Saccharomyces cerevisiae S288C: one gene and its partners. The protein of the gene in region 1 interacts with the protein of each later gene in a pairwise test. Each region holds a gene or a part of one and is shown on either strand. Other genes may lie near its edges.

Region 1 (3,597 bases):
GAAATCTATCCAATACTTCATTAATTGCCTTGGTAGGCTTGGCTAACATGGGTTTCAATGGAATTCCTGGTCTTAGAGTACAATATTTATCTAAATTCATAATACCGTGTTCCAGGCATGAGTTTATAACAATTTCATAGTTGGGTACTTGACAAAATGCGTCTCTTATCTTTTGTTGAGCACTTTCTAACACATCCATGGGGACATCTTTGTCTGGAGAGTCCTCCCTATTTTCATCATGGAGCAAAAGAGCCTTCGATAGGGATATTAAGACAGTCTTTTCAGCAAGACCGATTCTCAATTTTGACTCTAGGGATCTAATCAAAAACTTAGCCTCTATACCTTTGCAAGCAGTAAGCATTCTCTTGATCAGCTTCATCTTTTTTAATTGTGAATCTTTGCCCTGAGTCTTAGCAATAGCTCTAAGATTTTTGAAGACCTCACCCACGGTCAAGGGTTTGGGCTTAAACATAGTGGGTTGGACATTTCTCGCACCCATTGCTATTTCACCCAAATCCCCAATATCCTTGTATTTAAGTTTAATTTGGCTCATGGATTTCCCGCAAGTTTCGCTTATGGTTTTCATAAGAAGATTTTCTCCAAGGCCTAATTCCAAGCCTGCTTCGTAGTCAGGGCCCAATCTATTGATGAAAAGGTATGTTGTAGGTATTAAGTTCTTAGACGATTGCTTCATTATCTTAATAAAGAAATCAGAACAGATTCTTATAATCTCTAAACGGGAAGATATGGCCTCAATCTTGTTAAAAACCTCACAAACTTCAGAATAGGGGATATTAGACGAATAGTGATCATTATTATTTGAGCTCAAGGCGTCTTCAACTTCACCTACCAACCTCTGAGATTGTTGCGGTGAATCAGCAACACCGGAAGAGGGAGCGGATGATGGTATAGAAGAAAAATTGCTACCCATGGAGCTTGGAGCTGCTACAGTATGTGTAACAGCCGTCTGTTTCAATTTCTTGGTCGCGTATTCCTCTTCCCCACTAACATTATCCATTCTATCTTCCAGCATATGTTTGGATGATTTTTTGGGAGAAGGAGTACCTTCTGTTGGCTTATTTTTCATGGAAGTGAAGAATCTAGCCAAAGTGGCTTGTTTAGGCTTCTTACCGGCAGAGGAAGGTAATGAGGATGACATCAATAATGGCAATCTTGATTTCAAGGGACGTGCAGATGAAAGAAGGCAACCGGTCAGTAATCTGCGCATGTAATTGATGAACAATGACGTTAAAAGCTGCTCTAAACCTCCAAAATCATTACTTTTATTTTTGAACAAAGTACAGCGAGATGCAAACGCATGGCTTATTGCAGCTAAATTTCACTTTCACGCGTTTTCGCGTTAAGGTGAAAAATTCCATCAGCCATCTCAAGTGGAGGAACACATCGAAGCGAGCAAAAAGATGACAGAGTTAAACAGCAATAGAACCAGCGGCTGCAGTACGAATTCCTATTGCAAGTCTTACGGAAGGTTGGTGGGGCCTTATGTTGTTCAAAGTACTTGATTTTGGAAGTATGGTTGTCTGAAATTGTGGCTACGTATAGAGAATCATCCGGGTAATGATGAAAGTTTCTTTCAATGACAAATAGGAGTTTTAAGAAGTAGAAGAAAGAGCCGTTCGTATGAGTGCCAGGATCAGAAGGAAAGGGAGCAAGAGGCAGAACAATCATGTCGAAACAATTTGTTAGATCTGCGAAGAATTTGGTGAAAGGGTACTCTTCTACCCAGGTCCTGGTAAGAAATGCAACGTCAAACGACAATCATCAAGTGTCCAAGGACTCGTTAATTGAGCTGGCTGAAAAATCATATGATAGCGCAGATTTCTTCGAAATCATGGATATGCTGGACAAAAGACTTAACGACAAGGGCAAATACTGGAGGCATATCGCAAAGGCATTGACAGTAATAGATTACTTGATCAGGTTTGGTAGTGAGAATTGTGTTCTTTGGTGTAGAGAAAATTTATACATCATCAAGACATTGAAGGAGTTCAGGCACGAGGACGATGAGGGCATAGATCAAGGTCAAATCGTTAGGGTCAAAGCAAAAGAATTGACTGCATTACTATCTGATGACGAAAGACTGAACGAGGAAAGGAACATGAATATCAAGGGAAGAAACAGGAAAGGAAGAAGAAGAAGGGGAACTGGGCGCAGTGATGAAAATGACGATGATTTGCAAAGAGCCATTAGTGCTAGCAGGTTGACGGCGGAAGAAGACGAAAGAAGAAGAAAACAGGACGAGGATTATGAAACAGCTTTGCAGTTGAGCAAAGAAGAAGAGGAGCTAAAAAGATTGCAAGATTTACAAAGAATGCAACAACAGCAAGGCCAACAACAATTGCAACAACCTATGTATTATGATATTTTTGGTAACCCAATCACTCCTGAGGAATACGCACAATTTCAATTGCAACAACAGCAACAACAGCAACAACAACAGTTGCAACAACAACCAATGTACTACGATGTATTCGGGAATCCTATAACACCCGAAGAACTAGCACAGTTTCAACAACAACAACAACTACAGGAACAACAGTACTTAGCTTCTATGCAACAGCAGCAACAGGCAATGTCCAACAATCCATTTGCCAAATCAGAACAGAGCTCAAGTTCACCAAAACGGAACCAACTAGTAGCAGCTTCTTCTCCACAGCAACTGCAACAACAAAAACAACAAGAGCCATTGATTCAAAACAGGACAGGCAATCAATCAATGACAGACAAGTATAGTAAACTAAACGAGCTACTAGCCACAGGAACAGGTATTGATACATTCGGAAATGTAGGGGAGGCTCGTATTCCTGCCCAACATACGAAGACAGGAACATTCATCAATTCTCAAGGAACAGGATATAGGCAAGTATCGGATGATCCAAACCACAATCCGTTTTTGAACAGTCAGTATACAGGTTTACCAAGCACTAGCGTCGTACCAACACAAACAGGCTATGGCTTTGGTAACCAGTCTCAACAGCAGTCTCAAAATAATGGCTCAAATAACCGGGGATATACTCTAATTGATTTATGAAGTGATTCTGTCATTCCAGTCCGCATTTCTAATCAGATGAGCATTTTCTCGCATCGCATAATATATATGGACTAAGTAATTTAATCATTTCACAGCGCGTTTTGATGCAAGCGTTTAGTATAAAATGAACTGTATATTTGTATATGTGAGCGCACGATCGCTCCAAAAACTACTTTAGTAAACTAACGTAGTTCAGGACGACTGAAAGAAAATATAGTGCTTTAAATTTATCAGACAACCAGGAATGTCTTATGTCTTTACATGGATGTAATGTAAGTTGAATACTTTTACATATCCATCAGAAGAAGCCCTACGATACGCTCTAAATCTTGATGCGATAACTCTAAGGGACTTTTATCGCCACGTTCTCCGTTAATGTCCTTGTGAGATTGCAAGGACCGCAGCACCGCCTCATCAATGAATATATCCAAATATTTCTGTATCATTGGTACTACTTCATCGGCAATTTTCATATCATTACCACCTTCATTTTGGCTGAGGATTTTTATTAACGCTTCTTTAGATAACATCACCACAATTACTGT
Region 2 (5,729 bases), on another chromosome or scaffold:
CTTTTTCTTCCGTTTTTATGTCATTGGGGTGGCGGTAGTCATTCCGTTTTACGGTATGTTTATTCTGACACTTTGACGCAGATCTAAAAGGTGGAGTGTGGAGTACAAATAGCTCTCTCTCAAATACAGAAAAATACTTGAGTGTACAAAAGTAGCAACCTTTAAATAACAATGATTACTTCAATTGACATAGCAGATGTAACTTATTCTGCCAAACCAAGAATTTTGGTGCCTTATAAAACCCAATGGGAAGTCGCCAGTCATCTTCCTGAATATCGCAAACTGGCAGAAAGGGTAGAATTCTATAAATATGAGATGTCCACAAAGGATGATTTTGTTAAATTTTTGGAAACTCATAGAATAAACGGCTTTTGGCTCACTGAGGAGTTTTTCACTGTGTTAGGAAACCCTTCGAGTTATATTGAATTCTTCCCCGCATCTTTAAAAGTAATCCTTGTACCATGGGTCGGCTGTGACTTTATTGACGGTAAGTTATTAAGATCGAAAGGTATCACTTTATGCAACATTGGACCACATGCTGCTGACCATGTCACAGAATTGGCTATTTTCCTAGCAATTAGCTGCTTTAGAATGACTTCATTTTGGGAATATTGTTTTAAATACGTGGAAAATGGTAATGTTGAACAGTGTAAGAAATATATCTCTAGTGACTCGTATGAAATTGTTACAGATAGTTACCACGGTCAGGAAATGAAATTTCCCTCTCGAACAGACAAATGCAAGCCTAACAAGGATAGGAAAGTGGTACATTTAGCAGAAAAGTACACGGTTGGCGGGAAAAAAATGGAATCTCCAATGAATAAAAAAGTTCTAATATTGGGGTTTGGCTCCATCGGACAAAATATAGGGTCTAACTTGCACAAAGTGTTCAACATGAGCATTGAATACTACAAAAGGACCGGTCCCGTCCAAAAGAGTCTACTTGATTACAACGCTAAGTACCATTCTGATCTAGATGATCCAAATACTTGGAAGAATGCGGATTTGATCATTTTGGCCTTGCCCAGTACGGCCTCTACAAACAATATTATCAATCGTAAAAGTTTGGCCTGGTGTAAAGATGGTGTCAGGATAGTTAACGTTGGGAGAGGCACATGCATAGATGAAGATGTGCTACTAGACGCTCTTGAATCTGGAAAAGTGGCAAGCTGTGGTCTCGATGTGTTTAAAAATGAGGAAACACGCGTTAAGCAAGAGTTACTTCGCAGATGGGATGTTACAGCTTTGCCACATATCGGCAGCACAGTTGCCGACATGGTCATAAAGCAGACACTCATCACACTCGAGAATGTGCAGGACATATTTGTCGAGGGAGGTGATGGTAAGTATGTGCTCAACTGAACCATTCATTATGTTACAAAGATAGCATTTCAATTAGGATTACATACGTATATGCATTGCTCTTTATACCACAACTCTAAGAATGTCGAAAGTTATATGGCGGCGGTGATGTTGGAAAAAAAACGCGGCCGTTTTATAAAGAACAATAATCGTCTGACTAGGTAAAGTACCAGATAAGAACCGTTTTTATTGCGCGTATTGGTATGTTTTTTAAACGGAATTTTTCAAGATTGTTAAATACATCAACGATATATCCATTTTAATCACCGTTTACCTTTGTGTGTTAGCTTTGTATCTGGAAGTTTTTTCTCTTTTCTTCTTTGTCCTTGCCTTCTACCATTTTGCCTTTTGTTCGAGTTCGTGATTACATCAGGCATATACAACATCACGTTTGTTGAAACACTGGCTGCTAGGAGTATCTGTGTGTATATTCTAGAATAAACTCACACTCAACTAACAGCACGCAATGACAGATAATTTGACCACAACTCATGGTGGTAGTACCACCCTTGAATTGTTGGCGCAGTACAATGATCATAGATCCAAAAAGGACAAATCTATAGAACATATAGAAAAAGGAACATGTTCAGGAAAAGAAAGAAATCCGTCCTATGATGAAATTTTTACGGAAAACATTAAGCTAAAGCTACAAGTCCAAGAATATGAAACTGAAATTGAGAGTTTGGAAAAGGTTATTGATATGTTACAAAAAAACAGAGAAGCTTCCTTAGAAGTTGTGCTTGAGCAAGTTCAAAATGACTCAAGAGATTCATACGTTAACGATCAATCATTTGTGTTACCCCCAAGATCTGCTGAAAGGAAAGCGCATATCAAGAGTCTTAATTTGCCAATACCGACATTGTCCCCTCCATTGCAACAAGGTTCAGACGTTGCACTTGAAACAAGTGTAACGCCTACAGTACCTCAAATAGGTGTTACATCAAATACTTCAATAAGTAGGAAGCATTTACAGAACATGATACTAAACGATGAAATAGAAGCAAATAGTAGCTTCTCATCTCCCAAAATTATCAATAGATCTGTCTCAAGCCCTACAAAAATACATTCAGAACAGTTGGCTAGCCCAGCTGCCTCTGTTACCTATACGACGTCTAGGATAACCATAAAATCACCTAATAAAGGTTCGAAATCTCCATTGCAAGAACGTTTGCGTTCCCCTCAAAATCCTAACAGAATGACGGCTGTTATCAACAACCATTTGCATTCTCCATTAAAGGCCAGTACCTCTAATAATTTAGATGAGCTGACTGAAAGTAAAAGTCAACAACTAACTAATGACGCGATACAAAAAAATGACCGCGTTTATTCTTCTATAACATCCTCTGCATACACTACTGGAACTCCTACTTCAGCAGCCAAAAGTCCATCATCCCTTTTGGAAGTCAAGGAGGGTGAAAACAAGGCTTTGGGTTTCTCTCCAGCATCTAAAGAAAAACTTGACGACTTCACCCAATTACTTGACTCCTCATTTGGCGAAGAGGATCTAGTCAATACGGACAGTAAAGATCCTCTGTCCATAAAATCCACGATTAACGAATCTTTACCCCCACCTCCAGCGCCTCCAACTTTTTTCTCACCTACTTCTAGTGGAAATATAAAAAACTCTACTCCTTTATCAAGCCATTTGGCTTCTCCGGTTATCTTGAATAAAAAGGATGATAATTTTGGTGCTCAAAGTGCAAAAAATTTAAAGAAACCTGTGTTAACTTCATCACTCCCCAATCTTTCTACAAAATTGTCAACAACAAGTCAAAATGCTTCTCTTCCTCCAAATCCTCCCGTGGAAAGTTCATCAAAACAAAAACAACTTGGAGAAACGGCATCCATCCATTCAACCAATACCTTGAATACATTTAGCTCAACACCCCAAGGTTCGTTGAAGACACTTAGAAGACCTCATGCAAGTAGCGTGAGCACCGTGAAGTCTGTGGCCCAAAGTCTTAAGTCGGATATTCCATTATTCGTTCAACCGGAGGATTTTGGCACTATCCAGATTGAAGTACTGAGCACATTGTACAGGGATAATGAAGATGATTTATCCATTTTAATTGCAATCATAGACAGGAAATCCGGTAAGGAGATGTTTAAATTTTCAAAATCTATTCATAAAGTTCGCGAATTAGATGTATATATGAAATCACATGTTCCCGATTTACCATTGCCCACGTTACCTGATAGACAATTATTTCAGACTTTATCACCTACAAAAGTGGATACGCGAAAGAACATATTGAATCAGTATTATACAAGCATATTCAGTGTCCCTGAATTTCCCAAAAATGTTGGTTTAAAAATCGCCCAATTTATTAGTACAGATACAGTAATGACACCTCCAATGATGGATGATAATGTGAAAGACGGATCACTTTTGCTGAGAAGACCAAAGACTCTAACAGGTAATAGTACATGGAGAGTTCGGTACGGTATTTTGCGCGATGATGTTTTACAATTGTTTGACAAAAATCAGTTGACTGAAACTATTAAATTGAGACAATCTTCTATAGAACTTATACCCAATCTCCCTGAAGATAGATTTGGAACGAGAAATGGGTTTTTGATCACTGAGCATAAGAAAAGCGGACTGTCAACCTCAACAAAGTATTATATTTGTACTGAAACGTCGAAGGAACGTGAATTATGGCTTTCTGCGTTTAGTGATTACATTGATCCTTCACAAAGTTTATCGTTATCTAGCTCGAGGAATGCAAACGATACTGATTCTGCATCTCACTTGAGCGCAGGAACACACCATTCTAAATTTGGAAACGCAACTATCTCAGCAACCGATACTCCATCATATGTCACTGATTTGACCCAAGAATATAATAATAATAACAATATTAGTAATAGTAGCAATAACATTGCTAATAGCGATGGTATTGACTCAAACCCATCTTCTCACTCTAACTTCCTAGCAAGTTCAAGCGGGAATGCAGAGGAGGAGAAGGATAGTAGGAGAGCCAAAATGAGAAGTTTATTCCCTTTTAAAAAATTAACCGGCCCGGCGAGTGCAATGAACCATATAGGTATTACAATTTCAAATGATTCGGATTCTCCAACATCTCCTGACTCTATCATTAAGTCACCAAGCAAAAAATTAATGGAAGTATCCTCTTCGTCAAATTCTTCTACGGGTCCACATGTGTCCACTGCAATATTTGGCTCGTCACTAGAAACGTGTTTAAGATTGAGTTCGCATAAGTACCAAAACGTTTACGATTTACCGAGTGTAGTTTATCGTTGCTTAGAGTATCTTTACAAAAACCGTGGTATCCAGGAAGAAGGCATATTTAGACTAAGCGGGTCCAGTACAGTTATCAAAACTTTACAAGAAAGGTTTGATAAAGAGTACGATGTAGATTTATGTCGGTACAATGAAAGTATTGAAGCTAAAGATGATGAGGCATCTCCAAGTCTTTACATTGGTGTGAATACTGTAAGTGGGTTACTAAAGTTGTACTTGAGAAAGTTGCCCCATTTATTATTTGGTGACGAACAATTTTTGTCGTTTAAAAGAGTAGTTGATGAAAATCATAATAATCCTGTTCAAATATCATTGGGGTTTAAGGAACTTATTGAATCTGGCCTAGTTCCTCACGCTAACCTATCGTTGATGTATGCTCTTTTTGAACTGCTGGTAAGGATCAATGAGAATAGTAAGTTTAATAAGATGAATCTAAGAAATTTATGCATCGTGTTTTCCCCAACTCTAAATATTCCAATTAGTATGCTTCAACCATTCATCACTGACTTTGCGTGTATATTTCAGGGTGGTGAACCAGTTAAAGAAGAGGAAAGGGAGAAAGTAGATATACATATTCCTCAGGTTTGATGGTCTAAAATTGTAGAAATATAACGTTGCCAGTAAACCTCCATTGATTTAATGATAGAAAGAGGGCGAGATGTATAGAGGCTTCTTTCTTTCAACGATATATTTGTAATAATAAAAAAATGTCAGGCTGATAAAGCTTATAGAGTGACTGTCTTTTTATTCCTCAAATGTTATTTACAATACCATATAATAAAATTAGTATATTGTCAAATAAAATAAGAGAAAAAAACTAACTTCTTGACCAAATGGTCGAAGAGCTGAGATAAAGAAGGAAAAAAATTAAAATTACTAACTATACAAGGAAATATAAAAATAGAAAAATTGTGTTACTAAATACAAAAAAGTAATATATGCGTCACTTCTTTAGTGGGTTCAAGACAACATTATATATGCATTGGTATCACCATCTTCCACCACTTCTTGTTGTATGTTTTCTTGAAACATGAGAAATCATTGATATATCACTATCGTCATAAGTTGGTGTATTTGCGTTTTGAGGCTGTCTTATGCGATG
Region 3 (3,406 bases), on another chromosome or scaffold:
TACTAGACCTTTAAATAGACCTTGATAACCTTCCCTTTCTAGCGTCTTTAACAAAACATCTTTAAAGCCGTTATACACATAAGGATGTGCATATGTTCCTTGGGCTTGTAGTCTTGTTCTTAAAAGATTGATTGGATAAACAACAGAAGCTCCTACAGTTCCACTGAATGCACCCATTGGAAGTACAACCAGGTTGCTTAGAGTGACCTGATCTTGTGGTAGGTTCAGGGTCTTTGCCTGTTTGGCAATATACCATTTTTTTAAGGCAGAAAAAGTCCCCAAATCTAATGCAGCATAGGGAAATATGCCCACTATACCGACTGTGACACCTCTGTAAAATAATCTGACCCCCCCCCTCTCGAAACATATCTTTTGCAGTCTGAAAGAGCAAATTATTCCCCTTCAACTTTGTGTCCAAAGGAGCGCACTGCACCCTGAATTTCAAAGTATCTATAGGATAAACGGAAAACTGAGCTGCCATACCAGCTAAACCACCAGCAATGTAAGTAGAGAACTTTGAAAGATCTTTTGTGTCGCGGCAGCCTTCTAATTTGGTCATTATTTTCTTGGTGACCTCGAAAGAACCAAACTTTATCGAACTTTCTGGAAAAACTTTGATGACGTTTAAACCGTTCCCAACATAAAAAGCCTTTATCCCGCCTTGCCTATATAAGCTTTTGACAGCCTTTGCTAATGGAGATGATATCTTGTTTATGTCAGCATTGGGGTTTTTAGCAAGGAGATCTGTTTTTGAATTTAACAAGATCGAGGATAGATCCGTTCTTGCGATGAGAAACACTTTCAGTCTATCAAATGGCGCGGTACAAGTCCTTGAAATAACACCTGAAATACCACCAGCAATAAAAAACCCGAACCCGCGAATGAAATCGTTTATGAGAGTAACATCTCCCTCTGAGGACAGATCGACATCTTCGTTGAATAGGTAAAAATAGGAATAAGCAGTATGAAGTCTCGAACCCTGCTTTCTCGGTACCAGCAGCAAAAAGTCTCTCCATTGATCATATGTAACGTATAAATCTGAGTCGGTGGTTTTCTTTGACCGATCATTATCAGTATTCTTTTTGTGGCTAGCCTGGCCTCGTAGCGCAATGTTGGCTTTTCTCTTTGGAAACGCCCATTCAAAAAACCTCGAGAATTTGTTCATCTTTTCATTTGAAAGTTCATGATTAAGTTCATTATTACATATGCTCTGGTTGTCGAGGTCTGACAAATACCTATTTATTTCGTTAATGCCAATCTTACCGTCATGATCTAAATCTATCCTCTGGAAGCCGTTCCAAATTTGAGATTCGGCATTGGAAGCATACTTCTTGAAATCGCTTAAATCAACTACAGAGTCCTTGTTAACATCCATTGCAGTAAACAGCATTTTGATTGCCTCATCATTTCCCTTGAGCGGATGGTCGTTCTTCTCAAAAGCACTTATCAGATTATCTAGAGTAACTTGACCATTTCCCTTAACATCAAGTTCCTTGAACAAACACGCATACCGTATATCTCGCTGCTTGTCCGTCTCGCAATTTTTCAGCAGCATTTAGACCGTCATTCGATTGAATTAAACGTTATTTGCCCCTTCAAATATTCAATATTTCCCATCGCTAATAAAAAAGCTGCATTTTTATTTATTACTTTTTAAATATCATATTTGACGATCGTGTAGGACCCCTATGATTTAACATATCAAGAATGAATGAAAAGAACGTCAGAAACACAAGGTTAATTGCCTGTTATAATCAGACGATTGTAATATAACCATAGAGTTAGTGGGTATTGGAAAGGCCGGTAAAGATAACAGGGATCTCTGAAAAATGCCCAAGTTGGAACAATTTGAAATAAAAAAATACTGGCAAATCTTCTCGGGTTTGAAACCAATAGAGAATAAGGTAAACCATGACCAGGTTTTACCAATTCTTTATAATTCCAAATTAGATTCATCGGTTCTAAACAAGATTTGGTTTTTAGCTGATATTGATGACGACGACAATTTAGACTTTGAGGAATTTGTAATTTGCATGAGATTAATATTTGATATGGTTAATAAAAACATTAGCTCTGTTCCAGATGAATTGCCTGATTGGTTGATTCCAGGGAGTAAGGTGAATCTAATCAAAGAAAGAAAGAAGCGCAAGCAAATAGAAAACGCAGACTTGCCTCCAAAGAAGGAAATCAAAGTAGATTGGTACATGTCTCCAGATGATTTGAATCAATATGAAAAAATTTATAATAGCTGTGCAAAACTAACCGATGGTACTATTACATTCAACGAACTGTCAACAAAACTTTCCACAAAATTTTTTAACATCAGTAAGACAGATTTAAATAAGGTTTGGAGTTTAATTAACCCACAAAATTTGCCATCAATTGATAGAGATCCTACTTTTTATTTTATTCACTGTTTAAGACAAAGAAATGATTTGGGTGCTGAAATTCCAGCAAGTTTACCAAATTCTCTGGCGGAGGTGTGCAATAAAAAACAACTGAGCTATGATTTACGGTCCTCTCAACCTCCTACAAAGAGAAAAGAAGAAGCTAACGAAGTGGACAATCTGCGTGACAATGGGCAGAACTCGAGTTCCGATAGCAGTGGCAGTAACGTGCTTTCAAATGAAGACAGTATAAAGCAAAAATATGCTTCTCTGACAGATGATCAAGTTGCGAACATGAGAGAACAATTAGAAGGCCTTTTGAACTACAAAAAGAGTGAAAAAACTCAAGGAGGCTCAAAACTTTCTAAGCGGATTAACATCAGGTCGATAACTGATGACTTGGATAACATTGAACAGCAGGTTGAAGTATTGGAGAATTACTTGAACAATAAGAGACACGAATTGCAAGCATTACAAGCAGAAATCAATTGACACCGATAATTAATTTTATGTACATGAATGTGTAATATTTACTGTTTGTTATTTCACTTGTAAACTTTTTTGATTTGAACTTCAATCTATCCAGTAACGGTGTGGTGTATACTTATTTTTTCCTTTTCTTCTCTGCCGGAATTTCATAAAATTTTTACTGTTCAGCGTTCTTTACATATTTATATAATAGAATATGTCATATAAAGAAACAGTGACTTAGTTTCTGTTTTACTTTTTTTCTCCTATTTCTACCGTGATTTTGATTAGTTTTTTCTTTAATTGTTGCTATTCACTGTGCTTGTGTTAAATCTTGATGATGGTACTTGAACCCTCTGAATAATGATAATATACCTCTTTACAGTAACTATCTTTCTTTATTGGGTGCTTTTTAAATAGTTCCACTATTTCCATCATACTCATTCTCACGCTTCAGCTAGATAGAGCTGTTGTAGTAAACTCAACTGCTTTAGTGAATAATTTAAACACGTTTTCATCGATTAATTTCGCAGCATTTAGCTCCTGCATGA

The links.
Region 2: the proteins of ENT1 (region 1) and BEM3 interact in a two-hybrid assay, tested with the Saccharomyces cerevisiae proteins (one study listed by BioGRID).
Region 3: the proteins of ENT1 (region 1) and END3 come close enough for resonance energy transfer, tested with the Saccharomyces cerevisiae proteins (one study listed by BioGRID).

Annotation. Positions count from the first base shown.
Region 1 is NC_001136.10:166,027-169,623, forward strand, and holds ENT1 (epsin), read left to right. Parts: upstream 1-1,687; coding exon 1,688-3,052; downstream 3,053-3,597. Other genes in the region: DNA ligase (ATP) CDC9, read right to left, coding at 1-1,228; MHF2 (Mhf2p), read right to left, coding at 3,340-3,582. UniProt on the Saccharomyces cerevisiae protein: Binds to membranes enriched in phosphatidylinositol 3,5-bisphosphate (PtdIns(3,5)P2) and phosphatidylinositol 4,5-bisphosphate (PtdIns(4,5)P2). Required for endocytosis and localization of actin. Negatively regulated via phosphorylation.
Region 2 is NC_001148.4:331,586-337,314, reverse strand, and holds BEM3 (GTPase-activating protein BEM3), read left to right. Parts: upstream 1-1,828; coding exon 1,829-5,215; downstream 5,216-5,729. Other genes in the region: YPL113C (glyoxylate reductase), read left to right, coding at 172-1,362; HOS3 (histone deacetylase), read right to left, coding at 5,616-5,729. UniProt on the Saccharomyces cerevisiae protein: GTPase-activating protein (GAP) for CDC42 and less efficiently for RHO1. Negative regulator of the pheromone-response pathway through the STE20 protein kinase.
Region 3 is NC_001146.8:469,526-472,931, reverse strand, and holds END3 (End3p), read left to right. Parts: upstream 1-1,829; coding exon 1,830-2,879; downstream 2,880-3,406. Other genes in the region: Ca(2+)-binding ATP:ADP antiporter SAL1, read right to left, coding at 71-1,555; MKT1 (Mkt1p), read right to left, coding at 3,309-3,406. UniProt on the Saccharomyces cerevisiae protein: Component of the PAN1 actin cytoskeleton-regulatory complex required for the internalization of endosomes during actin-coupled endocytosis. The complex links the site of endocytosis to the cell membrane-associated actin cytoskeleton.